Arabidopsis thaliana: one gene and its partners. The protein of the gene in region 1 interacts with the protein of each later gene in a pairwise test. Each region holds a gene or a part of one and is shown in the gene's direction. Other genes may lie near its edges.

Region 1 (8,987 bases):
TACACGTGGCTCGGAAAAACAATTTGTTTTTTCAAGGAGTTGGTTTCTGTCTTTCTGAATTAATTAAAAGGTTTTTTTTTCGTTAATTAGTACGAACTAATTAAAAGTTAGTGTAAAGTAGATTCGAGGTTTCACCGAGGTACACTTAGAGAGTTAGAGGGGATTGCAAAAAACCTTAATTGACAGCATTAACAATGGATTAATAGACGCATCTATTATCGGAATTTACACCGATATCTTGGATATTTAAGGTTAGAAAATAATATTTTTCTCATTCGAATCGTTGTTGTAACCAAGTAGCTCATAATTTTTTTCATTATGGGAGAGCATTGACTATACCAATTGATCCTCTTTGGTAAGATGGGACGATTTCAATAGATTTTGTTTACATTTTTTGCTTACCACTTTGAGGTAAAGAATTTGTATATGCAGGGATTATTGGGAACGTCTTCATGGGAGCCTATACCACACGGTATTCGATTCAAGCAATCTTCAAATCGGAATTGCAGAAGCTATATAAAATTATAAATGTATGTACACAGGTTTATATTTATCGTTATACGCATAAGTAAACTGTGTGTATCGATGACTCCATGTAATATCTCTATCAGAACTTTATAGTTCCTAATGGTACTAATAATTTGATCACTCTTTAGATGTAGTATTACTACAATTCAAAATTTATATCACGCATATAATAATATCATCAATCTTCCAAATCTGTTTATGATCCGTAAAATGTATCCATAACCTCTGCAAACTAGAACAACAGCAATTTGGAAACTGCTGGAATTTACATACATCTAACATAGCAAAAAGTTTGCTAGATTACAAAACTGATTCCTTAAATACAACATAAAAAATCTAAAAAAGCAAACATTGTTGGAAAAAGAAAAAGTTATAAAATAAAAAAAGGATCCAGTGTTTTTGATTGGTTATTCCTACTTGGTGAGAACGTAGATGGCATATATCAGTCCGGGGATAAAAGCGAATAACGTTAGAAGCAAACAGACCCAAAACTCCAACTGCAAACACATATACAAAGAAACAAAAAAACAAGAGATTTGATCTTACTTTGACCATTAATGTCAAATGTGTCATATATTTTTATGATTTATGAATGAAAAAAATTTACCCCAAGGCCATATCTGAGGAACACACCAACAGGAGGTATGAAGATTGCACAAAGAACCTCAAGGAAGCTACCCATTTTTTTCTTCTGTAATTTTATGTTTTTTTTATATGTTTTTTTATGTTTTTTTTTGTTTTTCTGTTTCTTAGTTTTGAACTTTGTTTTATTTCTTCTTACGTGTTCATTTCCATTTATGAACTTTGTAAAAGAACAAGAAAATAGAATTAGTGGTTACGTTAAATAAGGGAAGAAACTGAGTTTGATTGTGTAACGTCCTCTGCTTGTTCCTAAAATGAAGGAGCTCCACTTCAACACAAACAACACAACCCTTTGCGTTTTGACGCAACCTTCCGTTGTTCATCGGTTGGAAACAAAAAAATGGGATGAACACAAATAAGAAGTCGAATAACTTAAAAATAAAATGTTTTGTTTTTGGGCAAAGAAATTAAAATGTTACAATCATAATGTCTGTTACAAAAATAAAATTAAATTTCATGGATTACAAATATATATAGGCCATTAGTTTGTATTAGTATCATCTTATGTAGATAAAATGTTTGCTTTTAACTCAAGTGTAAACATAATTTTTAGTGATTTTTATCAAGTTTTTTTTCTTTTACTCAAGTTTTTTTTCCAAACATGTAAATATTCAATTATGTAAGTTTTAATCTACTTAACTTATCTATATTTGTTAGTTTAGCTTAGAACAAGTAAATCTAACTTGCTATCACTTATCGACTCCACATATTTAGTCGGGTGTAATAACTTAGAGACCCATTAGTCAAAACTAATTTAAAAATGAAATTTCGTAAACTCGGTTCTTTCATATTAGATAATCTATTAAGATATATTTTTTTAATTTAATTACGTGGTTGACAAAAATGGATAATAAAAAAAAAAGTTTAACCAAAACTAATTATCAAAGATTAATATAATTGTCACAAAACATCAAATAAAATAAATTTTGCATAGGTAGTTGAAAGAAATTAAATCTCATCTATAAAGTTTAATATATACGAGGGAAATAATATATGAGATGCGTGTTAATTAAGTGAACAGCTTAATGTTTTCCATTTGTCGGTGAATGATGTTAAAGTTTTGTGGTAGTGATAATGACAACGATCCTTCATGTAATCTATATAACTTTTATTCAGTTCAAAATATTAAATCTCTAGTTTCTTTATATATTAATTTAATCGTCCTCAGATTTTATTGGTTCTGTCAATCTTATGACAAAGACAAACGAAAAGGACAGTGATGATTAGCTTATAAATTACATATAATATAACGAGTTATTGAACAATTGACTTGAGAGGACAGCTCATATATTCATAGCATCTCTATTTGACCATTCCAATGCAATGCATGTTAAGCATGGCAACTATTCGTTCGTCTTCAGCAATATAACTTTTTGATATGTAGGGCTTTTTTATAACTTAATTCTACCTTTTTGTTTGACAAAAAATGCGATGAAAAAATCGTAAATAGTACATATTTCCATGTGATTGTTAAACTTGTATAATAACCGTAATATTACGTGAAATAAGTGAATAACATTTATCAAGTAAACTCGTTAATAAAAAAACATATATGAACAAGTTAAATAACACCATACCATTTAACGACATGCATAAAATCCACATTATGATTTTATCGTCTACGTTTTATAGAATTTAGTTATGTACAATTATACATATATCGGCCAAAGGGTTGGTCTTTAAATACTTGGAATTCTATGTAAACATGTAAAATTGCACAACTGTTTCACGGGGAGTGTCGCTATACAAATCTGACCCTCGCCTTTTTTTACGACAATGATATCTTGGATTTACACAGATTATTGAAACGCCCACATAAATCAATAAATACAACAATGTTGAGCTATGTGGACATGAAACTGTCGGGTACACGCTTCACCAACTTAAAACAGAGATTTTGATACACTCAACATAAAAGTATATGTTGAGTGTATCAAAATCTCTGTTTTATCAAGTTTAGTTCAATATCAAGTGTTGCTCGGTCTAGTAGCAAATAAACTAGGGTCATCCTAGAGCCCTCTAGTTTAAGTTTCATTTGTGAAGCGGTGAATTCACTCACTTTGGTTTATGAAAATCTACGGAGTTTGGTTCCAAACTTTGCGGATATAAAAAAAAAATGGCCAATATAACATCCACTAATATTTTGATATCTTCAATTATTAAAACAGTTTACAGTATCAATTAAGTAGTGTTTTTTTTTCCTATATACACAACTAGTTAAATTGCAAAGACTTAAATTTAAAAGTAGTTTTGACTAAAGTTCGTATGACATTTTTACTTACATGGTAGCTGCAAAACAAACTTGCATAACCAATACAAAAGGAATTGAGATTCGAAATGAAAAGCCAAAATAATTAATTATCATCTCCTAATATTAAAGTACAAATATATATAACATGGATAACACCACAAATTACCATCTAGGTTTATGTTAGAAACCATAATTCCACCCTCAGAAAAATAGTTATGAAGTTCATTATAAGAATCCTTTTGAACAGTGAAAAAAGTAAAGCAAAGTTTTTGCTCCATAAACCAAAAATATTATAATTGCATGCATCATTCGAATCTAATCAAAATCAATACCTCAAAATCCGACCTTCTTCATATAATGGAAGGCTTACGGCGGATCATTGTCATGCTAATTATGATATGATTGATGAAGAGGATGATGATTTTTTTTGGGAGGAAATAATATTAGTATATAGCATAATATTTTTTTCAATAACGTGTTGTTCGACTTAATTTAATAGTATAAGCAAAAGATACTCGTTAAAAGCTTGTATGTCTGCAATTTCGATTCGAAAGTCTTTTCAATGAATTATATGATTTTCCAATATAATTCAATCATTTGATGAATTTTTAATCCGAAGTACCTTAAAGGCAGCTTCGTTATTACATGATTTCATACAATAGAATCAAGTAGCCCTATTTTTTTATTGTGTTTGATTATGAGATATGTCTTGTCGATCTTTATTTTAACCAACATAATTTTTTTGTTAACCGATTAACCAACATAAATTGTCTAGCTACTTCATGCTTCTTGGTGGTTCCTGCATCAAGAGATTCCCTCGTCAAATGCTCAATTATTTAAAATGAAAAAAAAAAATTATAACGAAGAATAAAGAAAAAATCCATAAACAACTTATAACCAAAAGAAATAAAGTTTGAAACAATTGTATTTCAACCGCCATCTCAAGGTACAAGTTCAAGTACAATATATTTCTCACTCTAATTAATTAACATGCCCGGTCAAAAAAAAAATCAAATTTAGAGAAATCTTTTGAATGAAATTTTTTAGAATTATAATTTATGAAATAGATCATTGTTTTTATCATCATAAATCTCTTCAAAACTAAATAAACATAAGTTCAAAGTTTAAACATTCCAAACATTAACCATCATCACAAGTCTCGTTGAAACTAATAAGCCTCAAACCAGCCATAGGTATCGATAAAAGTTTTTCGAAAATCAACTCTTTAGTCGATTTCTTAGGGCGGTATGAGTAATCTAAACCCAATCGAAAAGAGAAAAATTTGCATAGTCGACTACAATCAATTAGGTGACATGAAAGGTTGTCAAAACGAGAAGTCCAATCAATATACAACGCATTTTTCATTTTCTCATAGGTTTAGTCAAAATGACCCAAACTAGTTACCTTCGAATAGCACCTATAGTTAAAATTTAAACCTAATTGAATAAAGTATAATGAAATTGAAAACAAGATTAGTTTCTATAGATTCCACACCCACACACGAAAAAAAGAAAAGACACGAGTCTCATGACTTATACATGAGTAGTCTTTGGTCCCAGCTAAGCACATCATATTGTCTCTTTTCTCTGAAAGTTAAATACAGAAAAAGAAAACATAAAATTCAACAAAAGTCTTCTTATGAAAGTGACTTTGTTTCCTTTTTCTTTTTTTTCGTCGGTTCCATAGCCTCTCTATTTATGTATTAGTCTCTGCACATCTCTTACTTCATTTTCTCAACCTTTTTCACAATCCATTAATCTTTCTCTTTCATCAATACATTACCAAGAAACCAGAGTTTTTCTTCATTGTTCTTTTCCACAGCATTGCAACATGAAGAGACATTCTTGTTGTTACAAACAAAAGCTGAGAAAAGGTCTTTGGTCTCCTGAAGAAGATGAGAAACTTCTCAATTACATTACCAAACATGGCCATGGTTGCTGGAGTTCTGTCCCTAAACTCGCAGGTAAAACTCTCTCTTCTCCGAAAAAGGCCTAAAATTGTGTTTTTGTTCCTTAAGTCATTTACAGAACCAGAGTTGTATGATTCTATAGGTCTCGAGAGATGTGGAAAGAGCTGTAGACTCAGATGGATCAATTACTTAAGACCTGATTTAAAGAGAGGAGCTTTCTCTTCAGAGGAACAGAATCTCATTGTCGAGCTTCATGCTGTTCTTGGAAACAGGTAACAATCACAATTACAATTATTCTCTGTTTCTGAAACAGAGTATTTTCTGAAATCCCCTGTTATCTTGTATCAGATGGTCGCAAATTGCTGCGAGGCTTCCCGGGAGAACCGACAACGAGATAAAGAACTTGTGGAATTCGTGCATTAAGAAGAAGCTGATGAAGAAAGGCATTGACCCTATTACACATAAACCCCTCTCCGAGGTTGGTAAAGAAACAAACAGAAGCGACAATAACAATTCCACAAGTTTTTCCTCAGAAACTAATCAAGACTTGTTTGTCAAGAAAACGTCTGATTTTGCCGAGTATTCTGCGTTTCAGAAAGAAGAATCCAACTCTGTTTCACTCAGAAATTCGCTCTCTTCCATGATCCCAACGCAATTCAACATCGACGATGGTTCTGTCTCAAATGCGGGTTTTGATACACAAGTATGCGTGAAACCCTCGATTATTCTTCTTCCTCCTCCAAACAACACTTCAAGCACTGTCTCTGGACAGGATCATGTAAACGTGTCAGAGCCTAATTGGGAATCAAACAGTGGAACCACAAGCCACCTCAACAATCCCGGTATGGAAGAAATGAAATGGTCCGAGGAGTACCTAAACGAATCGTTATTCTCTACCCAAGTTTACGTGAAATCAGAGACGGATTTCAACTCCAACATTGCCTTTCCTTGGAGCCAAAGCCAAGCTTGTGACGTATTCCCCAAGGATCTTCAGAGAATGGCCTTCTCTTTTGGTGGTCAGACCCTTTAGTTTCTTTTTCTTATCAGATTTAGACATATTGATACGTGTAATGAATGGATCAAATGTTCTATTTGGCCATACGTTAAAAAAATAAAAAAGCACAATCCTTTCCTGAAAATGTGTCATATAGAACATTTTGCTCAGATTCATCAATATACGTCTGTAAATTTTTAGTTTGGTATCGAAATAAGTTTCGTGCAATCCTTTTGTTGAAAAGAATCATGATGCTGTCGACAAATCAATAGTCATTTACACCAAACAAAAATCAAAAGTCATATATTTTCTGAATATATGAAAGGAGAAAAAAGAATACAAATGCAGGCATTACTTATTTAAGAAACCTATTTCCTAGAACACAGTGTGGTCCAAAGTCACATCTTTCACCATTATTCAGACTTCAGACCCTATATTCAGTTAAAAGACAAAAACAAAAGATAGAGAAAACGACTATTTCAAATCACTAAACAAAAAAAATTCGAAAATCTATTAAATTATATAAACATTAAAATTACTGTAAGTAATACCCCCGATCCTTTAAATATCTGTGATTTAAAGAAGCCACTAAACAATAAGTGTTACTTTAAGTCAAAAACATATTTCTAATGAAATCTCTACGACTTTTAATTAAACTCAAACATAGTTCTACGATCTTGCATTTGTTATTACATGCAAATAAATATTTATATTCTCCTTTTTTCTATCTTGAATAACATTCTAATTGTTTTAAATTTAAAATATTTTTATTAGAGGTTCCAATTAATTAATTTTCTTACATTTACATTATAAGTACTATATTTAGAAATCCTATTAAAAACCAATCACATTATTCCTACTTTTCTGACACTTATTCGTTTTCTTATAATTTAGTCATGAATCTTTTGCCCTTCAATATTCATTTATTTCACAATCTATTGAAATTTAATTATAGATTGCAATATGCATATAATTTGATTGATAATTAACTAAATTTTCTTTTTATTAATTGCAAATCTTTGCCCAATCTGTTTCCTTAATTACGTCTATAAATGCATCATTACAAAAACCCACCGAAAATAACATCAAAAGAAGTAAGCAAAAGCAAAAGTCCTAATTTCTCCTGTCATGGACACCTTACCTCATCATCTCCTCGACGAGATTCTCTTCAGAATAGACCACAGATCTCTGGCCATGATACAATGCACAAATAGATCTCTTCAATCTCATATACCCAAAACCCCTAACTTTGCATCCGAATACTTTTCTCGGGTCAGATCAAGTTTGCTATACATAGCATTCAATGGCTCCCCTTTGCTCTGCTACCACCTTTACGGTGATTCTAGGTCACCGCGAACAGTAGAAGCCTTGACGGAGTGTCACATTTTAGGCTATTGCTCTGGCCTTCTTCTACTCTTCCTCAATAAAAATCTCTGCGTCGCAAATCCTCTCACAAAGAAGTTTCGTTTTTTTAATCACTCTAGGTCAAAGTTTTTTCCCTTGGGTTACTACTCTACGACGAGGTCGTCAACAAGTCATCGGGTTCTCTGTAGATCAGATTGATCGAACAACCAATAGTTTTAAAATCGTCATCATAAACGAGGTGAGAAACAGCAATGAGACAACATATGAGTTTGAGATTAACGTAGGCTATTCATGGAAACTATCGGAAACGACGTTAACTTGCTGCACAAGTAATCTTGATGACCGTATGAAAAAACCTGTTTATATGAAGGGAGGTCTTCACTGGCTAAGAAATGACGGAGCTATCGTAGCTTTCAACCCTGAAACAGAGAAAGCACGACTGATCTCGATCAGATTCCCCAAAGAACTTTGTTCTAAAACGTTGTTCACAGCCGCAGATAACAATTTAATCTTGATATCGGCGACGGAAGAAGTCTTTTACGTTTATGCAGTAGAGAACATTCTTACTGATCCCAAGTGGGTCGTCTTGAAGCAAATCCGGAACGGGGTACTGGACGAGAAGATGCTATATAGTTGGTACCCGGAGGCTTACGATGGAAAGTGTTTAATGCTGAGGGAGATATTGAAGAAGGACCATTACAAGCAAGTGCTTCATGGGTACGACCTGAGAGCTAATAAGTGGGAAGTCATAGGTTCGATTCCAGGGTGGTACACTTCAGCTCTAGACTTTTATCAGTTTACACCGTCTTTGTCTTCGGTAATAGGACCTGATGCCAAGGAGGAGGAAGAAATATTGGCTTGTGATCATAAAAAAATCTCCTCTATAAACTCAATTATTAGAATGCTTGATGGAATCTCATCCTAGAAAAATGGAATAGCAGCTTAGAAAAAGATTGGTTGAAGAAGAAACAAAACTAATGTTGTTGAAGAAGATGAAGCTTTTCGTCCAAGGTTTTTTTTTGTATTGTTCATGCCAAAAAAAGAGTAGAGACTGTAGAGTAGCAATCCGTACCATTTTTGGAACATGTATCTTTTGGTTAATGAAAATGTGTGTTTTATGTTTGTTTTTCTTTTCGCTAACCAAACGCTAAACTGATGTTATTGAACTGGAAAACTAAAATATATATCTTACTATGTTTTGCATCACTAATTCCATCGTGAAACTTCTTACTATGTTTTTGCACTTGGTTAATAGTAAAAACATAACTTTGGTAATCAATTCAATGTTAATATTTTAA
Region 2 (10,349 bases), 1.4 Mb from region 1:
CCAATAAAAATAAAACAAAACATTATTTGTGTTCTAATATCTTTTGCATGTTAAAAGCCTCATAATAATATTTTATAGTTTATGTATGAGATAGCAAATTATCTGTATAATTGACAATTAATGGTTCGAAGTTTTTATCCGCACCATCACTAAAAAATTACGTAACTATACAAGTTTTAACACATCTCGCCATGATATACACTCTTTAGTAACAGTATTAATTGAATTCCAATATTACTTGGGTTTTTTTGTTGGTTTATATATATCAATATATCGAATATTTATATCAATTTTAATGATTATAGTATATTTTAATATGAGGTATTCCTTTTAAATTTCGATATGTTTAGTTTGTTTAAAAAATTAAGGCTGAGTTTGTTGCAAAAGAGATTAGTACGTATGTTGTTGACATAATTTGTTATATGGGACATTTTGAGAATTTGATTCATATAATACTAGGACTCTTTTTAGATAACTTAATTATTTATTAGTTTTCGAACTTATGTGAACTACATGAAAATAATAATTACATATGAGCTCCCGTGAGTCCCAAAAACAGCATTACGTTACTTACGTGTAAAAAGAATGTTATCATAAACATAAAAACAAAGAAACATGTGCTTTTCCAAATACAAAACAAAAAATTGTTAGGACATATGATGATTTGATTTTGGGGTTTGAAGAAAAGAATGAGTCGCTGACACTTATCCGACTATCTGCGCCAAACAAAGTCTCCACTCATATTTGCCGTGTGGGTCCTATTTTTTGACTACTTGTCGTTTTCCTTCACCTACTTTAAATTTTATACATGTTCATATTGCTTCTAATCGTATATACGTGTCTATATCACTTTATATACGTATATAGCAATACGTATTTTGGAGCAATTCTTCGTCAACTAAGTTTTTTTCATACAACGAGTGCATGAATCTCATTGTTCGTGATCAAGTTTTACTCCAACATCCGAAAGTGTTCGTATACTTGCATTGTGAAAAGCGGTATATTTCAAAACTAGTCGTTGATTCAACTATATATGTTGCCACCATGAATATACTAAACAGAAAATGGAAGAAAGCTGAATAAGATTGGGGACTATAAAATTTAGCATATGTGTCCGATAATAATAAAATCCAAATATCGACCGACAAGAGCTTAGAGGAGTGTCGGTGTACATATCGATGGGATCGACCAGACCGTTAGAGAAAACAACCGATGGGCTGACAAAGATTCTTCGGATTTAACTTATGTTGTCATACGGTGGCTGTGACACATTCTTTTGACGTTCATTTCATAACTTTTATTTTATCGATATCAACCTAAACGAAACAAGTGTTTTCATAAATAAATAAAAAGTTAGTCACGTTGCAATAATGAATTATTATTTTTTTCATTTTTGGCGGAGTGGACTGGTGGGCTTAAGCAAATTGATCAAATTTGTTTTGACACTTTCTTAGTTTATATTAAAATTAATTTTAATTGCACGATGAAAACTTACTAGTCAGTCGCATGGATCTGACCTAACTGTCTCTGTATTTCAGTGCTTCAAAGCTCTTTTAAGTTTTAAGTCAAAATGCATTGTGTCGCATAGAGAGACCATTAAGAAAAAAATTCAATTAGTTCTTAATTAATATTTTAATAATAATTAGATAAATTGGGGCCTTTATAGTCTTCATTTGTCCTCAATAGCCATTATCCAATAAAATATTACCAGTTTCATTTGATATTTTTGTGTCATATTTTTACCATTTAAGACTTTTCACAATTCGAATAGCCATGAACAATAAAAATCTACGAGTTTCATTTGATATTTTTTTTTTTTTGCCGAATACATTTAAGACTTTCACTTCTACTAACCATGAACAATGGTCTCCCAATTACAAAATATATTTTTGAATCATTGGACTACCATAAATGATTAGTGTCTTTTTTGTATTACATGTAACGTAAAAATACCATTCTTCAAGCATTCATAACAATTTTTTTTTTGTCAAGATACATAACGTAAATTTGAATTTCGTAATAACGATACTAGCACAATTTAGCTTAGAATATGTCCAATTTTTTTTTTTATTTTGAAAGGAGATAGATATATAAATATTATATACATGGATATCGGTGAAATTATGTTTATTATCTATGCCTATCGTTTGATAAAACTTGTATATTTTATGGACGGTGACACAGCCCGGTTCACTATGCCTCGAGCCGTATAATGATCATAAAGAACAGAACTGGTTACTATTATCAGGTTCAACAAATCCATTTTTTGATATTTTGTGTGGCTATCAGTCTATCACATAAAATGGAAAAAGAATTAAGAGAAAGAAGAAAAACAAAACAATGACTTGTAATTAAAGTGCAATAATTGATTGACTTATCAAATTTATTAGAAGAATAAAATATTTACGGAATTTAGAAAAAGCTAGTTGAAAAGAATAAGGACCGTTTGGTATAAAGAGATTGTGAAAAAAGTCACAAACACAATAGGTCCAGAAACGGTGACGTGACACACAGATCGAAACTCAGCATCGATCGACGATCGTCATCATATACCATTTATCCCTTTAGCCTCAAGCCACAAGAACAAATCTTATTTTATAGTACTATTTTTAACCGAAAGAATCCGATCGACAATGAAATAAATATCGAACTCATATCAAGTGCTAACTCTAGGTTTTGCCATTAATTTTGCGTTTTCCAATCGAGCTAAAAACAATTGATCGTCTATTAAAAAAATAAAAATTCCTATGATCGCTTTTTCGATCTAAAACTAATTTTTAGTAATAGTAATACCTGTTAAAGTATAAATATCCCTCCCAAGTACTGAAAACTCAAACCTGAACGAGCTAGCCTAGGACTCAACTTTTATCTCGAAAGAATCTTTGAATATTACTTTTGAAAATAAGTGAGTCTAATCCTTGAAGATATATGTTTTAAAGTTTTTTTTAGCAAATGCGATTGAGAAAACATATATTTTAACTTCAAGATAATCATTACTGTATGAAAGTATGGATAATTAATTAGAAGAAACGTTGTTCAAAAATTGGTTAGTCGTTTATAATTACCAAAATAATAAAACAATTATTAATACGCTTGCATAGACTAATTAGTTTTTTTTTTTCCTAAGCTTACTAAAGTGATCTGATAAAAATCATGTATGGAAGCATGAAAGTAATAAAAAAATATCAAGTTTCAAAATTTTAGTCTTTCATATTTATGTACATTTATATATATACGCATGCGTAGACTATAATCAGTCATTTTCGTGTTTTGTCTATACAATTACTAAAAACTGATTTAATCAAAATCGTGATATGTTTTCTATTTCTGACCACTTAATATAAACGATCGATTTGTAGAATTTGATGGCAACCAATCAAAGGTTACCGTTAGATATAATGTCTATATATAAATAGTATCCCCTTTTGGCATCTTGCATAATAGTACCAAACACCTATCTAATCTCAAATTAAATATTTAAATATTTATAAAATGAGGATCATTATCACTTCTTCGAAAAGCTAAGCAGCAAAGAAACAAATCTCACAAAGACAGTTGTTCTTATAATAATAGAAGAAAATTGAGGGATTAGGAACACTATTATTACAACATCTTTCTGTCAAATAAAATATTTAGCTTAAGGAAAAAATTTAAAATCAAGATTATTTAATTAAAAAAATCACATAGGAATGTTATGATGATATAAGTTTTTGTCTTCAAATGTCAACTAAATTCCGGTAATTTCCACACACTTGTCCGTACTTGCCTATATAAACATACACACCCTCATAAACATATATCAAAATTTTACACTTATGCTCTTCATATCACATACAACAAACTCATATATATAAAAACTTTAACCTTCGTATAGCAACGATCTAGTAGAAAGCTTATACTAAAACTTTCTGATTCTCTTAATATGGCGGAGGAGTTTAAAGCTACGGCATCGATTTGTGGTGGCGGAGGTGGCGCGTGGTGGAACTCGCCAAGGAGCGTTATGTCTCCTTCGGATCATTTCTTGTCACCATGCTTCGGAGCGGCTATCACTTCCAATGATTTTAGCTCGCAAGAGAATCATCTCAAATCTAGGATGACTTGTACGGACAACAACAACATCGTTTTCGGGCAGCGAGAGGCGGATTCTGACAGTGGAGGAAGTACCGTGACGATGGACTCGACGTTGCAGATGATGGGTCTAGGGTTTTCCTCAAATTGTTCTTCAGATTGGAACCAAACCATTTTGTAAACTTCTTAAAGAAAAACCCTAACTTAATTTTTTTTGTTCACTTTCTTGATGAACAAGATTGAAGATTTTTAATAATAATCATGAGATCTCTTTTGTTCTTGTTTTGTATTTTTCAGACAAGAAGACTTAAACTCAAGCTTCATAAGGAGCTCACAAGATCAAGATCATGGCCAAGGATTCTTATCCACAACTACTTCACCTTATATACTTAATCCAGCTTGTTCTTCATCTCCATCAACTTCTTCGTCCTCAAGCTTGATACGAACCTTTTACGATCCCGAACCAAGTCCATACAACTTTGTCTCCACCACAAGTGGTTCAATCAACGATCCTCAACTTTCTTGGGCTAATAAGACAAATCCTCATCATCAAGTAGCTTATGGACTAATTAACAGCTTCTCTAACAACGCAAACTCTCGACCCTTTTGGAATTCTTCATCAACCACTAACTTAAACAACACGACGCCGAGCAATTTTGTAACCACTCCGCAGATAATATCTACTCGTTTGGAGGACAAAACCAAGGTAAATTATCTCATATATGTCAAAATAATTTTGCTACTATATAAGTTTTGTGGCTATATTATTGAATTTATTTATTTATTTATTTTTGTTGAGAAGAATCTGAAGACAAGAGCTCAGAGTGAGTCTTTGAAGAGAGCAAAGGATAATGAATCTGCGGCGAAGAAACCGAGAGTCACCACGCCTTCACCGTTGCCAACTTTCAAGGTACATGATCATATTTCAAGATTTGTTTAAGACCTTTTATTTTAATTCAATTTCTTGGTGGATAAAATGGATTGTATATGTAACAGGTGAGAAAAGAGAATCTAAGGGACCAGATAACTTCATTACAACAACTAGTTTCACCTTTCGGAAAGGTGAATGATTTATGTGTTTACTTTATTTTATATGGCTTAATATATACAACCAAAAGCATTTATTTTCCCTTGGTTATGTATTGAGCTTCTTAGTTTGTTTATTTTGTATATCTTTGGGTTAAACTTCAGACAGATACTGCATCTGTTCTCCAAGAAGCTATAGAGTACATCAAGTTCCTTCACGACCAAGTCACTGTACGTTTCTTGTGATTTCTCTCCTAACTCACTGAATTCATAAAACCCTAGAAATGAGCAAATTTTTAAGCATATTAATGTTTTTTAAATACAGGTTCTAAGCACTCCATACATGAAACAAGGTGCCTCGAACCAACAACAACAGCAGGTTCAATACACGATCTAGTGTTTTAGTTTTGTCCAAGTTGGAGTCTTCGTGCTATAATCATGGTTAAATAAGTACTAATTTCAGTATGGATTCATGTAGATATCTGGTAAATCGAAGAGTCAAGATGAAAATGAGAATCACGAACTAAGAGGACATGGTCTATGTCTCGTCCCAATATCAAGCACGTTTCCGGTGGCTAACGAAACAACAGCCGATTTTTGGACACCAACGTTTGGGGGCAACAATTTCAGGTAGAGAAGGTGAATTACGTATATCATACGGTTCTTAATTAGCATTAAGATATTATTTAATAATGCTTAGCATAAAAATAAAAGAAAATAAAATTCACAAGTCATGATCAAAGATTGAATCATTACTTGGAGAAAAAGTAGAGATGGGAGAAGAAGAAGGTGACTCTTCAAAGGTGGGCAGAGGCAACAATAGTGTTGGAGGGGACCAACTACGAAAGCAAGAATGATTTAGGGCTTAGAAAATTTGGGATAATAATCTATCATAAACTAATAGATAGATATATTTTTAAAAACATTAACTTACATACTCTCATGTTATATATGTAATAATTAACCTAAATTTCACTTTTTAATTATATATAGGTGATTAAAGAGAGAGGGTTGTGGTTGTCAAGACGGATGGGAACATATGCTAAATTCAGCTTGGAGACTCTAAAGCATAACAATAATTTTTAATGTATTTTCTTCTTCTTTCAATATTTTAAGGGGGGTTTATTGCTGAATTTAGCATATATGGGTTGTTTTTATGTTGAATAACCTTTTGTTCCTGTCATTGTTCTTGAATATATATATATACATATTTTTGTCGTTGGTAACATCTTTGTTAATCACTTATTAAAGTTAGAGAACATAATAATTGGTGGTTTGTCATATGAAGTTCTTTGTTGTTTTTATAGAGTTGTTTTTTTCATGTTTAATCATAAATTTTAATTTTAACAATCACAAAACCAACACTTATAACCTAATTGTTTGTGATAGTGCCGTTACTCTTACATAGTTACATTTATGTCCAAACTTGCAAACTTGCACATTTTCTGGATACATGCATGTATTTATGTTCGTACATATCCATGTATAAATATGTGTCCATATGGATTCAACTTTTTGTTGGTTCGATTAAGAACTATATATTATGGAAATTCAGTAGTGGAAGCCAGTAGAATAGCGGCCCACACTGCTTCCTACTTTATGATTTGAATATACATATATGATTTTAGTATAGATACCGATAAATATATACTGATTTGCATTCAACATCATTTATGTTTACAGAAAAAAGATTATTCATATGTTACTATAAAGACATATATGTGTGTCTAATCTATCAAATGCCACTCAAAAATATATGCAATGCAAGAACAGAATTCTTACCTTAGATCTCAATATCGATAAAATACTCAACAAGTCCCATGCATGATTAGTACGTATTTATTATTAAAAAACAAAATCTCAAATTATGCCCTATTGGAAATTAATGTTGGTTTTCTCCAAAGTACAAACAAATTAAAAGAACATAGCATGGAGTCAGGATTCAAGATTCTAAAAAGTGAAAATGGAGTTAAGGTCGAAAGTGAACGTATGGAACGGTGAATCTACACATTCAAATATGGTTCTCGGAACCATAAATTAAAGAAGTACTAGGCTTGATTACCACAACATGTCTCTGGCCATTGGAAAGAGATCATTCCGCGACTAAAGGAGAACCGGCAAATGTTTGTTTATGAATGTTTTTCATGTTGCAACTAAGATTATCGTCGTTGATAGAGAGAAGTTAAGATTTGGTTGCAACTCATATTCGGCTATATCCTTTGTCTCAGGATCAACAAAAGTTACCGTCCTACGTAGATTTTTTGGATTCATGAGGTGCTTCGGCTCTTGTCATTGGTTTAATATGTAACTTGGATTCATGTAAATTTAAGTTGCTAAGTTTGTGAATCTAGTGACATCGGTCCCTCTTCTAGTCTTCTTAAATCTTAACCAATAAATTACAGAAAATGGTCGATTACAACTATATATGTGGTGGCTCATATAAATTTTTCGTACCTAACAAATAACAATCTTCGACATAAACAACATATAACTAGTCTAAAATATTGGATATTATATGAGAAAGATAGCATAAACTTGAGTACATTTCAAATCAAATTTAACTTCTACCTGAAAATTCGATTCACTAGTTTCAACTGTAGATCGATTAGAATCAATGTTGTAATAGAGTTTGACAAAATATGCCATGCGCCAAAAGAAAGGAGGATCATGTATAATGTAATATGAATATAAAAGGCAAAAGAAAACATTATGAGCATAAATTTTTAGTCTTTTAGATGTACAATAAAGGACGAACAAGTTTCATCTTTTTTGCTTTATGTGAATACAACAAGTTCTTAATATCTTCAGCTATAAGCTTCGTTTGATTGAAGCTTAAAAGCCTTATTCCTTTTTCTATAAATAAATCACATTGATTCTAATATTGTTTAAGTTTCCGAGTATCACAAAGACACACGGCTTATTTTCCTCCAAAGAGTTTATATATTCTCTACTATCATGAATCAAAATATATCCGTTTTATATTGATATCCTTTATATATTGATATCATTTACAGATTTTCTTTTGAAAATCTTTTACGTGAAGGTTTTTTTCCATAAAACATTCGAATGAAATTGCTCATATAGTTTATGAAGTTTGTTAATTGTTCCCAATATATTTAGAATCACAGAAGTAACCTTTAAATTGTGACATAGTGTTACAAAGATAACATTGGTAAAATTACTTTATTTTTGGCTTTTTTTTTATATGAACGGTAAAATAAAATTATCTATTTAAACTAGAACTGTACGGTTTTCTTTGGAAAAAAATCAGTCCAAAATAAAAGAGCTTACATGAAAAAGATAAAACCTCGTGCTATTGCCTTTTTTGCAAGACAATCAGCACGTATATTGTTTATAAGAGTCCTCTTTTTAAATGCTAGTCATCATGCATGGGATTAACTATATATCAACTTTCTCTTATGTTACATCATTTTTAGGTGTATTAGAAGGAATACAAATCAGAAGAAGATACTTGGGAGCCGTATGATGGATTGGGGTAAGGTTTTTTAAATTACTGCTTTGGCCTTCTCATGTTGTCCTCTAATCTGTATATGGTTTCATTAGAAAATACAAATAAAAACTTAAGGAATTCGTAACGAAGGGTTTCAAGTCAAATTTATTGCCACTTCTTGTAAGCTAAGTCATGTTAATTACACATGTAAATCCTCCAAATATTTCTTGTTCCCCACTTTTCGTAACTTTTCGACCTTGTGTCGTTCTTTTAGGAATATGTGCATCTTGTATGTGGGGGTCTTCCATGCCAGGGACTTAGTGGTTTTACACCGATTTAGAAATAAAGATAAACCACTTCAAGATGAAAAAAAACAATGAAGTGACGGTTTCATGAATATCATAGACTATACTTGAAGCCCAAATACGTCTTGATGGAGAACGTTGTAAATCTTTTAGGTTTCATGGAAAGATTTGTTGGTCGTTATGTTGTAGCTCGTCTTGTAAACAAGAATTACCAAGCAAGATGAGGCATAATGGCTGCTGGTGCATACAATGTTCCTCAATGTAGGTACATGGTGTATTAGTATCGGTAGATTAAGGATCCCAAATCAATTCATGAAGAGGAAATGAGGACTAAGGGAAGAAAGGCTAGAGTTTGGGAGAAGATGAAGATTGTGGAAAGTGGCATGTTGTTGCTGTTCCAGTCGGGATTGCCTTAGGATACATGTTTGGGATGGCGAGTCAAAGGTTGTGTGATGATAAACCTGTCATAGACTACCCTTTCATGTATCCCTGAATGTCTTAAGAGAAAGGTAGATTCTGATAGATTAAAGATCCCAATTCAGTTCATGAAAAGGAAATTGAGGACTAAGGGGAGAAAGCCGAGAGTCTGTGAGAAGAAGAAAATTATGGAAAGTGGCTAAGTGTCGAGTAAAGGAGTATTGAAGAAACCTCTTCCTGAGCTAGAGGATTTTTTCTTCTTATTATCTTCCTTTAGAGGATTCCAAAACAACTGTTGTGATCTCATCTCTTAATAACTTCTTCATTGTTTATCTTGCTTTGACTTGGATTTATATTAGGATTTAGGACTGTTTATTTTTTTTCTTTTAAATGATTTCATTAATAACTCTAAATTATCTGCTAGGTTTCATGATACTATGGGGATCCTCAGCTTTTGTTAGATAGGTTTGAGGAACTTAGTGAAGAAAGTACACATCTTGAATTATGGGTGGATACTAAGAATTAAATTATGAATTTCGTATTTATTAGATTAGTTGCTGAGGACGAATTATTGTTGGAGTGACTAATACTTGACGAAATCTTGATGCACTCTATTCTTTCCTTTTTATTTGCTCTACTTCAACATGAAGACTAAAACTATCAAAAGAGAGTTTAGATCCATGGAAATATGGAATGGATGTATTTAGGGATGGTAGAGTGTACACCAAGCTAGGGCATGTGCAGAACCTAACCTAAAGCTTAGGCAGCAACTGTTTTAAGATTTTACAACCAATTTTTTTTTAAATAGATCATGGGATCATAGGGGCCAGAGAGTGATTGCGCCTATCTACCCGAACTATTAACATCAGATAAATCAATCGTGTCTCTCCATCTTTTGCAATTACCATATTCTCTTTTAAGGTTTTTTTTTTTTTGTTTAACTGGTCAAGTTACTTATTACTCTATCTGTTATTTTTTAATTGATTTTCTAGAAAAACACACAAACACATATTAAAACTAATTATAAATATATTAGTTTTTGTGATGTAGATTTTTTTATAATTCTAAACCAATAATTATTT
Region 3 (11,825 bases), on another chromosome or scaffold:
TAGTTCACGTACGTTCAGGACATCAACTTCTCCTATGATGATAATGTATGTTTCTGTCTAACCCCTCCTCTACACTTTAGTATTTATCCATTGTTAGATGTTGTTACCTTTTCATGAATTTAATATTATTTTATTAATTTCTTCTCTGAATAACTGTTTCTTTTAAATGCATGAGAAGCTGGAAAAAAACCTCAAAGTGGTAAAACTGAAACTGACCCTTTTCGTAGGATTGAAAAGTTATTCTACTTTGTGTTATTTTTGAAAAATAAACAATTATATACATATATATATATATAATTTATATGAAAAATAAGTAATATGTTATCCATCTCATAGGAGTTATGAATCTGGACTAAATTGCGATTAGAGTGTATACCATAGTTTATTAAATATTTCCACTCGTTAATAAATGAATTGTGTGACGACCAAAAAAATAATGAATTGTGTATAGGATATATAGGCCATGAAACATTCAAATGGTTGGTCTCCACATGGGTGCGCAAACTCTATCTTTGTCCAGCCAATCATAGTACTATATATCTTTTGCTATTTTCTCTCTTTATTCTTTTTTTTTTTTTTGTAAAATTAGTACGTATTAAATTTTAAGATCTTCATTCAAAAATTGTTTTCCATGTTCAGTTAACGTGTCCAGAAAAACAATGGAGTTAAATCTAGATATAGTTAGAGTGTTGTTGTTCACACGTATAGATACTTATTTAATTATTGTTTATAGGTCTTATTCATGTTTTATTTTACGCATCTTAGAATCCTCATTTACTAAATTACTAAACATTTCACGGCAAGATGACTTGTTCAACTACATTATCAGTATCATATACTACTATTAAGTACCATTTTAATTATTTAATAATTTCCAAATGTGACCCTTGACTCTTAAGAGGGGGTTAAGGGACTCTTTGATTAGAAATATAAGTTAAATAAACACACACACGAGCATATACATAGTATAAAGTATAGTCCATTATGTTAACAGACAGGTGTCAAGCAATAAAGCTATTTATACAAAACTCTATTTCCATCCATTTCAATAATGAGCAGTGTAAAGATAATCATTCACACAAATCCTTACATTGATTGGAAGTTTCTCTCCTTTTTGTACCATTTTATGATTTATAATAGAACTCTAAAAGCCAAGTTATAAATGTTTAAACCCTAATTATCTTTCCCACTATCGACCTCTGTGGGTTTTATGTGTAGATGTACGTAAAAGCCTACTTATCATTCCTTTTCCGTAGCCACTTATAGGACATTTATAACCCATTTCTTAGATTTCGAACTATACAAAGATTTTCCGAGATTTTTGAATGATAATAATAATAACAAAACTCGTTGCTAAATAATGTGGTTTGAAGTAAATTTTTGGATATATAAGAAGATAAATCACGAAAAAACTCGTGGACATGTTGGCAACAGAAACGCATTTGGAGAAACTCGCAACGTCTCGTATTTATTTGAAACACACGTTCCACAAAAACATTACCATTAACTCTTGTATCATATATATACATATATATTGTCCTCTCTGTGTGTATAAAACATGTGTATATATATATATATATATATATTAATTATAGCTTGTGATATATACCTAGCTTAAATCAAAGCCAGGATTTGATAGTATAGACCTAAAAAATGTTGTTTACTGATCACTAATCCTCGATATGTAAAATAGTAAATTCAAGAATCAAGAATATCGAACACATGACCTAACAAACTAAAGCAAATTTAAGATGAAAGTTTTTTTCTGAACATATCATATTTTTTTTTTTTAAATGAACATATTCATTGCTTCTAGATTTTTGCTGTCAAATATGAGTAACTTTCTGTGACGTATGTTTTTATACAGAGGTGAAAACAGGGAATACGCCATCAAGAAGCAGGGAATCAGTAACCTACTATTTTAATAGAAGATTCATTACCTTGTTAATCACGAAATTACCTTCTTGCTCATGAATCACCAAGTCAATGTCAATGTTTTTAGAGAAAAAAACACACATACATAATCATCAAGTCAATGTTCTTGCAATAGTTATACCTTTAGTTTCCCCCAAAAAAATATTAGCCAATTAAATCAAACAAGAAAGAAGATATTACTTAAAAATCTCTACAAAACACATGACTACATGAGCGAGTGAATTCGATAAGGGCTTGAAGAAGTGGTATGCCGATTGACTATTGGGTTAAAAATAGATGAACAATTGAGATTCTTAGAATTAGTACCACTAAATTGACTAAAAATCAGTAAATGATTGAACTCATTTGAGACCAAACATGTGGGAGATATATATGGGAATGAATGCTTTCTAAGTGGACACGAAAATTCTATATTACAGTTGAGATTCGTTTGAACAAGCTCTGGGGAATATACGGGGGACAAGATACCAATTTATTACTAAAATAAATACGATTAAAATAGTCTAAATTGAGAAAGAGAAGATCCGGAGATGGTGGTGGTGGGTTTTAAGGCATCTTGCTTATTTATATCCTTAAAGGGAACAGAAATTGTCAAAAATACGTCATACGTGACGTTTTCTGTCATAATTAGTAATATACTAAACATAATTAATTAGAACTAAACGATAAAGTAATTAGTTAATTGGTATATAAATATATGGACTATGGAGTATAGGCTTTTTCATCTTTATATTTTGCTTATTATTTATTAAAAAGTTTGGCATTATTCATTGCCAAATGACTACAGCAAATATACGATTTTGATGCAGAAATTTAAATTTATTGATCATCTAAAGATCGCACTTAGTTTACTATACGAAAATCCATGCACTACACTACTAGTGATGGTACAAATGTTTAGGAAATAAAATTATTATGTTAAATTTTGTATTGAAATAAATATTTGGGAGTTATAATCTTATCATATAAAAAAACTAAAATAAATAACTAACCCAACATATATGTATATCTACATTATAAGGATTTGAATTTATATGGTAAACATAACTATACTAACAAAAATTATTATATTACATATCTTGGTTAAATTAGTAAAATAGATTTATTTAGTGTTTTTCGTTTGTCGCTTGTCATACTTTTTGAGTTCCTTCAATTTGAGTATCATAAGATTTTTAGGAAACTTAATCTTGATGTTATAAGTGATATTAATCGCTTATTTATAACATCTACTTATTTATCCATCATCGATCATTTTTTAACGGTTCAAAAGATTTCACGTATATTAATGTTCAAAATTCTAAAAAAAAAACATTTAATCAAAACATTTTTTTCTAAGTATTTAAGTAATTTTTCCGGATAATATTTGTTTGGCAACGATCAACATATATCATGACTCAAATAAATTTTGATGTTTCTAATTAGTAAAATGTGGAGTTGGAAAAAAGTTCTTGCAAAAGGTGAAAAGAACAAAAATCAGAGATGGAAACACTTCCCACATGCTTATGTTAGTCCCACCATTTAGTGGTAGAAATGTAATTTATCCAAAGAAGGAGGTCAAAGCTGCTTCGTCTCTAATCCAAGTCTAGCCAGTATTGTTGCCTGCATAAGAGCAAACGGTAAAAGTGACGGACTCTTAACGATGACGGGTGTTACTGTTTAATGTCTCTTGATCGACTTTTGTTACCGTAACGACAACGGCACGCGCCCTCACGCTCCGTACCAGCCTTAAAAGCCAACACATTTATGATTTATCCAGTAACTAATACTAATTCCTTCATCCACTAACGCAATTGCATTTAATTGTTTAGTACGTATAGAAAAAAAGTAAAAAGCTATTTATAATTATAACTTACAAAGTCTCTTTCAATTAGTACAGTGTAAAACAACCAATTATTTTCTATATTATACAGTATAAAGGTGTTTATCATAGACCCATTATTTATTTGTTTTTGACTAAAATATCAAAGTGTATTAAAACATAAACCAAATAAATTTGAAATTAAAGTTTTTTTTTTTTTTGTAAAATTAAAACTGATTTTTGGTTTAAATAGAGAAGCAAAGCTACGCTTTTTTTTTTGCTAGCTCTTTTTTTATTTAATCAAACAAAAATTGAGGAAAACAATTATTGTTGTGCTAAGCATTTCTATCATATATTTTTTTATAAACAATACATTTAATTTCAAAATAACTTTCTACTTTCTTCAAATCAAGCTATTTCCTAGAAATTTGGTACTGTCTGGATAACAACATGTCTTAGAAAGTATAGTAAGGAATTTACAATTGGTTATACAATTAATGTATAGCGTATTATTATATACGAAAAGGTGTCCAATTTTAGACATACATATAAAATCAATTTATTAAAAATAAAAGTATTGAAAAAAGAGAGAGTGAAACGGAGATAAAAGCAAACGGAGGTGTTAACTTAAAGACGGGAGAGAAGCGAGTGAGAGATTCTTTCTTGTAACGGCGTTGTTTGACGATTATAGTGACGAAGAGAGACAAAAAAAAAGAGTTTAGTCTTCTTTGTTTGGGAGACGAAGACGATAGAAGCTGGTTTTACGGGAGAGAAATTAGAGAGGTTACAGTTACAGAGCAGGAAGGATTGCGTTGCGTTACGATTCAGATCTCTCTCGATCGTTACTTACATGCATTAGAGAACAAGAAAACGTGGAGACGGAATCCAAGGGACCTTCTTCTTCAATTTAATTCCTCACTTTATTACGCACCCTTCTTTTATTTTCGACTGTTTCAGCTTCCGGTTCTTCATCGGAGAGAGATAGAGAGACTGTGTGTTTTGGTGTGACTGATAGAAGATTTAATCAGCTGATGGCAAATCGCGGAGGTGAGAAATTGACCGGAGTTTTGTTTTTTTCTTCAATTTTCCGGCGACATTACCGGCGAAATTAACCGGTGTACATTGTGTGGTGAAACAGGTGAATATCTGTACGATGAGTTATGGAAATTATGCGCGGGACCTCTTGTTGATGTTCCTCAAGCTCAAGAAAGAGTTTATTATTTTCCTCAAGGTCACATGGAACAAGTAAGCAGCTTCTCTTTTAGATCGGTGAAATTTTGAGAAAGATTTTTTTTAATGAAACATTTCTATTTTTGGTGGTTCAGCTCGAAGCGTCAACGCAACAAGTCGACTTAAATACGATGAAGCCTCTTTTTGTTCTTCCTCCTAAGATTCTCTGCAATGTTATGAACGTTAGTCTTCAGGTATACTTTCCACATTTAGCAAAACCGAATTTATCTGATGATGTGTCGTCCATTAGTTAAAGCAATATATATAGATGGATATTGTAGAAAATCTATGAAGAAGCTGGAAATGATTAGACTAAATATGAGTGGAAGTTCTGGATCTTGTTTGATTTCTTCATTTCTGTTCTTGTCAGGCGGAGAAAGATACGGATGAGGTCTATGCTCAGATTACTTTGATCCCTGTTGGAACTGTGAGTGACACAATTAGATCACTTGATTGTTTTTGTTGTTGCAACTTCCTTAAATTCAATGTTTAGTGGATCTCTAAATGTAAACTGTAGGAAGTTGATGAACCTATGAGTCCTGATCCCTCTCCTCCTGAGTTGCAAAGGCCGAAAGTTCACTCTTTCAGCAAGGTTTTGACAGCGTCTGATACAAGCACCCATGGTGGCTTTTCTGTTCTAAGGAAACATGCCACGGAATGTCTTCCTCCGCTGGTATTAGGACACGCTTACTATTTGTGCTTTGTTTCCCACCAAAATGGCCTTTGATATGAATTTCTTATGTTCTTATCCTTTAGGATATGACTCAGCAAACCCCGACCCAGGAGTTAGTAGCCGAAGATGTGCACGGTTATCAGTGGAAATTCAAGCATATTTTTAGAGGTGGTGAATCCATTTCTTGTTAACTCAGATCAAACTTTATGTATCCATGATAATTGTATAAAATGAATGATAATTCATTAAACAGGCCAACCACGGAGGCATCTATTGACGACAGGGTGGAGCACCTTTGTTACATCAAAGAGATTGGTTGCTGGGGACACCTTTGTATTCCTGAGGTATTATACTTCACGCTGCTACCTTGTTTTGTTTCTTTTGATGGTCCATTGGTAGATTTTGAACTTCCAAGCTATATTATATTTTCCAGAGGGGAGAACGGAGAGTTGCGAGTTGGAGTCAGACGTGCTAATCTTCAACAGAGCAGTATGCCTTCATCCGTTATATCAAGTCATAGTATGCATCTGGGAGTGCTTGCTACTGCACGCCATGCTACTCAAACGAAAACTATGTTCATTGTATACTATAAACCAAGGTAGACAGTTATTACTCTATGGGAATATCTGAGGTGAGTTTTTTCGACATTCTGCTTATCGAATTACTCTCGGTTTGAGCAGGACAAGCCAATTCATCATTAGCTTGAACAAATATCTAGAAGCCATGAGCAATAAGTTCTCTGTAGGGATGAGATTTAAGATGCGTTTTGAGGGAGAGGATTCCCCTGAAAGAAGGTAGTCTGAATTTTTTCTTTGTTATGTATCCTGCACTTTGTCCCCAAAGCTATTCTCACACATCTATTTCTTTACAAAGATATTCTGGCACGGTTATTGGTGTGAAAGACTGCTCCCCTCACTGGAAAGACTCAAAATGGCGATGCTTAGAAGTAAAATTCCTTCCACTTTTACATGTTTTTTAAAGTGTTTATTAAGTGTGAAAACTCAATCAGTTTGCTACATGTTTGTGTAGGTTCATTGGGATGAGCCTGCATCGATTTCAAGACCCAATAAGGTTTCACCATGGGAAATTGAACCGTTTGTAAATTCAGAAAACGTTCCCAAATCAGTTATGCTGAAGAACAAAAGGCCCCGTCAAGTTAGTGAAGTATCTGCACTTGGTGAGGCACAATCTAACCGCCACTGATTTGCTAGTACATAGCTTAAGTTTCCTTGCTAAATCTCACATGCTGTGTTTAGATGTAGGCATAACAGCTTCAAACCTTTGGAGCTCTGTTTTGACGCAACCCCATGAGTTTGCACAATCGTGCATCACCTCACAGTGGAGTTCTCCTCAGCAATGTCATCGTGATGCAAATGAGGATGCTAAGAAATCTGACTGGCTAAATAACTCTTACTCTGTGTCAAATGTAGCAAAAGACTCAACACTGAACGACCAAATGGTTTCCCCAGTCGAGCAGAAGAAGCCTGAGACAACCGCTAATTATAGATTATTTGGAATTGATCTGATGAGTTCCTCCCTAGCGGTTCCTGAGGAGAAAACTGCACCCATGCGACCAATCAACATATCCAAACCGACTATGGACAGCCACTCAGACCCAAAATCAGAGATTTCAAAAGTATCAGAAGAGAAAAAGCAGGAACCTGCGGAGGGATCACCAAAAGAGGTCCAAAGCAAGCAAAGCAGTTCTACAAGAAGCCGTACCAAGGTATATATATGCCTACATGGCTACCGTGAAGTGTATATACATTGTGTAATCTGTGAGTTGCAAAACAGATACACATTATGTATAATGTTTGCGGGACTGAACAGGATCCTGAATTCTTTATCGCTGAACAGGTGCAGATGCAAGGCGTACCTGTGGGCAGGGCTGTGGATTTAAATGCGCTAAAGGGGTACAACGAGCTCATAGATGACATTGAGAAGCTGTTTGACATAAAAGGGGAACTGCGGAGTCGCAATCAATGGGAAATAGTGTTCACAGACGATGAGGGAGATATGATGCTTGTCGGTGATGACCCATGGCCGTAAGTAACTTACTCTTTATCTCTTAGTCAATAGAATCACTACACAAAACTCATATCTGTTGACTTAATTTGGTGGTGCAGTGAGTTCTGCAACATGGTGAAGAGAATATTCATATGGTCGAAAGAGGAAGTGAAGAAAATGACGCCTGGGAACCAACTCCGGATGCTGTTAAGGGAAGTTGAAACAACACTAACAACAACTTCCAAAACAGATAATCATTCCAACTAATTTTTATTCTATTCTCTATCAGTCTTCGTCTCCTTCTTATTTGCTTTGTCTTTCGGAATTATCTTGTTTGTGTCTGTGTTTTGTTGCGCATGGCTTAAACAAGAAACTACATCCCCTGAGGCAAAAAAAATGGCTCGTTTTTTTGGAGCCTCTTATGGAGAAAGGGGGTTTATGGGGAGAGGGTTTTCTACTTTTAAAATAGGCTTTTGGAAGTTTCTTTTTCTTCTAGGAACTTGTGTGTAAGAGAAACAAATATGTAACGAACAGAAAGAAAAAAAAAAAAAAAAAAAAAAAAAGAGAATGAGATTTGTGAATAACTTGATGAAGGACTTTTGGGACTCTGGGATTATAAGAGATTAAAGAGGGATTATACCTCATGGCTCTCGTGTTTTCTGATTCTTTTTCGTAGTTGTGTTTTCTTTGATTTTGTTTTTCATCTAAGTTTTAATGTATATATAAAATTTCAAACATGGCTTTCTTGTATTTGTCAAATCCCCAAAGGTACATATATTATCAATATTTAAAATGTTAAATAAACAAAACTCTAGACCTAAAACTATTTCAGGTTTTCCCACTAACCTTAACAATGATTCAAGATTATTGATGTTTTGTCTGTGAGGACATGTATGTGGCCGCTCTTGCCACCATATTCACAAACGTAATTGTATGAAGTATGGACCACCTTTTCGCTACTACTTCTGGATCCCCTTATGTTTGTAAAGTGTATCATTCCCTTATATCACTATTCACTCACATGCATTAAAATATCGAATGCTGCAAAGGAAAAAAGAGTTATTTTTCTCTTTAGATATCATTTGGGTTATGCATATTACTTGGATTAGTCCAATATGTCGTGTACAACCATTCTCGCTGCAAAACAACTACAATATGTCAACATAGTATAACACATGCTGATCTGGTGAGATTATAAATTGTGAAGTTTGTCTTTATAATATGTACATATAGTATTTCTTTGATTATGACAAGTGTGTAGAAAATGTTAGGATATTATTCTAAATCCCACATACGAAAGATTAGATAATGATTATCCAACATATAAGTTCAATCTAATTTTAATTAGTGTATCATTTGGGGAAAAAAAATCGTGCATATCTGGTTGCTTGGTCCAAATATCTATATTTTCTGACGGTCCAATATTTATATACGTACCACATAAATACACCTATACGAATCTCTTTACTAATACGTCGATACCGTTCATAGTTAATGACGTTATTTACTGCCGAGATAATGAAGTGATGATGTAGGTTATTTATTGCCGAGATTTGTGAAGGCAGTGGATCTCACAATCCCTATCTTTTCCTCTTCTTTTTTTTCTTTTTTTCTTTCCATATATAGAGAAGTTTAAATTTAATTGTACCATTAAAAGCTCACCAAATACCAACTTATACATACAGTCAGTATCTATATCAGGAATTTATATGTATGTGTGTATACCGAATAATAGTAAACTCATTTTACTAATAAATAACTTTGTTTTATTATATATTTGATAAACAACTTGTTATAAATTATTTTAATATGTTAAATTTGAACTTATTAAATTTTAAGTAATATTCTAGTGACGGAAGTATACATTGTATTTAAATTGCATAGATGTAATTACTTATTTTAAAAACTTATAGCACTATTCAGTGATTTACTTTTCCAACCTAAAATCGAGGTGTAGAATGTCTACTCTGGAAAAAAAAATCGCCTATAAAATATCAATATCAATGGTGAGTTTTGTTCTATGTACCAAGTTTCTCTAAAACAATTTGTCTTTCTATTAAAAATAAAGAGTACCACGATGGAGCCTCACAGAAAACACTCGGTCGGCGACACAACCCTCCACACGTGTCATCCTTGCCGGCGCACCATTCCATATAGAATCTACGCCGTATTTCACACGTGTGGCATCATAGCCCTCATGTATCACCATGTACACTCACTTCTCACAGCAAACACAACTCTAATCACGTCTCTCCTTCTCCTCTCCGATATTGTTCTCGCCTTCATGTGGGCAACCACAACTTCCCTCCGGTATAAACCGGTTCGCCGGACCGAGTACCCTGAGAAATATGCAGCTGAACCGGAGGACTTCCCGAAACTGGACGTGTTTATATGCACGGCTGATCCGTACAAGGAGCCTCCGATGATGGTGGTCAACACTGCCTTATCGGTGATGGCTTACGAGTATCCGTCCGATAAGATCTCAGTCTACGTATCGGACGATGGAGGTTCGTCGTTGACTTTGTTTGCTCTTATGGAGGCAGCTAAGTTCTCTAAGCATTGGTTGCCTTTTTGCAAGAAGAATAATGTTCAAGATCGGTCTCCTGAAGTTTATTTCTCATCAAAGTTACGTTCTCGGAGTGATGAAGCTGAAAATATCAAGGTGCGTATTATTCTACTAATCACTTATAATTAGGAATGTTTTTTTTTTTATCGAATGTTAAAATTGTCATTCATTTTGGTTACGTTGAATAGTGGGGAATAACATGTTTAATAAAAAAATTTGGACAAAAAAACATTTATATTTTTCGTGGAAGGAGTAATTAATAATGACAAATAAAAAATAAAATGAGTACAAAACTACAAACAGAAAAAATAATTATTTGCTAAATCAATGGGGAGCGATTGTTGTGTTGAAGAAGTCACTTCAGAACCTTATCGTATCTCTTTTCGACGATAGTGGCAATCTTGTTCTTTTATGACCTAATACTTTGGAAGACTGTGACTCGTCGTAGTGACCTACAACAATTTCTCCCAAAAATATATACGACTATAGGAGTATTAGTAATCTAAATGATAGAAGTTTTTCTTTGTTTGAATTTTCAGTTATCCATGATTGCGCATAAGTAAAGTAAACTTGAATTGGATATTTCCTGCCCACCATTACTGTAAGCATTTCCTTGATATATCATCAATTATGAATTAAATATTAAACAGTAATTTTAAAGTTGAACCTCTAAAACAAAATGGAAAGACTTGTTCAGAAAAAAAAAAGATATTTTATGGCAAAACTGGTTGACATATCCATAGAAAATGGAGAGACTGACCAAATATTGTCAATTTCAATAAAATATCTCTATGATAAAAAGGACAAATTGGTCGTCTAAAAAAATAGTAAAAGTAAAAAGTGTATGAGAACTCAATAGTACACTAAAATTTAGTAATACTTCTATGTTATTATTACATGTAGTAAACAAAGTTGTCACAAGTAGTAAGATATTTTCAACCAGTGTTATAAATAAATCGTAATAAACTATACAAGAGAGCTGTCAAAAAAAAAAAACTATACAAGAGAAAAATAAATAAATTGTGTGGTGTATAATTGTTTCACCGTGTAACAGATGATGTACGAAGACATGAAGAGTAGAGTAGAACATGTGGTGGAGAGTGGAAAAGTTGAGACTGCATTTATCACATGCGATCAATTTCGTGGGGTATTCGATTTGTGGACCGACAAATTCACTCGTCATGACCATCCCACAATTATTCAGGTAATTTAAAGAAAAAAAAAGTTCAAATATTGTTTTCTCACTACTATATATCATAAGAAAATTGCATTTTGAATATATTTACTAGACAATTATACCTTGCCATATGTTAATTCTTTTGTCTTGACAAAATCTCAACTAACATTTATTTAAGGACAGGTGCTACAAAATAGTGAGAATGATATGGACGATACCAAAAAATATATAATGCCAAACCTAATCTACGTTTCAAGAGAGAAGAGTAAAGTTTCATCACATCATTTCAAAGCCGGTGCTCTTAATACCTTGGTATCAACTAAAAAACCTATCTATAATTAGTTTTTGGTTTCGTTTAATTTTAGTTAATTCCGTATTTTCTTTTTATTATAGCTACGAGTGTCTGGAGTGATGACGAATTCACCGATCATTCTAACAC

Evidence for each region.
Region 2: the proteins of MYB50 (region 1) and AT1G61660 interact in a two-hybrid assay, tested with the Arabidopsis thaliana proteins (one large-scale study listed by BioGRID).
Region 3: the proteins of MYB50 (region 1) and ARF9 interact in a two-hybrid assay, tested with the Arabidopsis thaliana proteins (one large-scale study listed by BioGRID).

What each region holds. Positions count from the first base shown.
Region 1 is NC_003070.9:21,311,600-21,320,586, forward strand, and holds MYB50 (myb domain protein 50), read left to right. Parts: upstream 1-5,147; 5' UTR 5,148-5,251; coding exon 5,252-5,384; intron 5,385-5,472; coding exon 5,473-5,602; intron 5,603-5,678; coding exon 5,679-6,360; 3' UTR 6,361-6,593; downstream 6,594-8,987. Other genes in the region: AT1G57550 (Low temperature and salt responsive protein family), read right to left, coding at 942-1,025, 1,136-1,210; AT1G57565 (SWI-SNF-related chromatin binding protein), read left to right, coding at 8,036-8,614.
Region 2 is NC_003070.9:22,749,745-22,760,093, reverse strand, and holds AT1G61660 (basic helix-loop-helix (bHLH) DNA-binding superfamily protein), read left to right. Parts: upstream 1-3,722; 5' UTR 3,723-3,922; coding exon 3,923-4,245; intron 4,246-4,365; coding exon 4,366-4,774; intron 4,775-4,870; coding exon 4,871-4,978; intron 4,979-5,064; coding exon 5,065-5,130; coding exon of another isoform or gene 5,131-5,214; exon of another isoform or gene 5,215-5,259; coding exon 5,260-5,325; intron 5,326-5,419; coding exon 5,420-5,473; coding exon of another isoform or gene 5,474-5,491; exon of another isoform or gene 5,492-5,572; coding exon 5,573-5,724; coding exon of another isoform or gene 5,725-5,728; exon of another isoform or gene 5,729-6,087; coding exon 6,088-6,091; 3' UTR 6,092-6,483; downstream 6,484-10,349.
Region 3 is NC_003075.7:12,446,828-12,458,652, forward strand, and holds ARF9 (auxin response factor 9), read left to right. Parts: upstream 1-4,315; 5' UTR 4,316-4,764; coding exon 4,765-4,780; intron 4,781-4,871; coding exon 4,872-4,978; intron 4,979-5,058; coding exon 5,059-5,157; intron 5,158-5,333; coding exon 5,334-5,390; intron 5,391-5,480; coding exon 5,481-5,636; intron 5,637-5,719; coding exon 5,720-5,804; intron 5,805-5,889; coding exon 5,890-5,980; intron 5,981-6,069; coding exon 6,070-6,234; intron 6,235-6,316; coding exon 6,317-6,430; intron 6,431-6,509; coding exon 6,510-6,582; intron 6,583-6,665; coding exon 6,666-6,813; intron 6,814-6,892; coding exon 6,893-7,362; intron 7,363-7,493; coding exon 7,494-7,681; intron 7,682-7,762; coding exon 7,763-7,910; 3' UTR 7,911-8,542; downstream 8,543-11,825. Other genes in the region: CSLG3 (cellulose synthase like G3), read left to right, coding at 9,664-10,305, 11,264-11,413, 11,570-11,698, 11,780-11,825.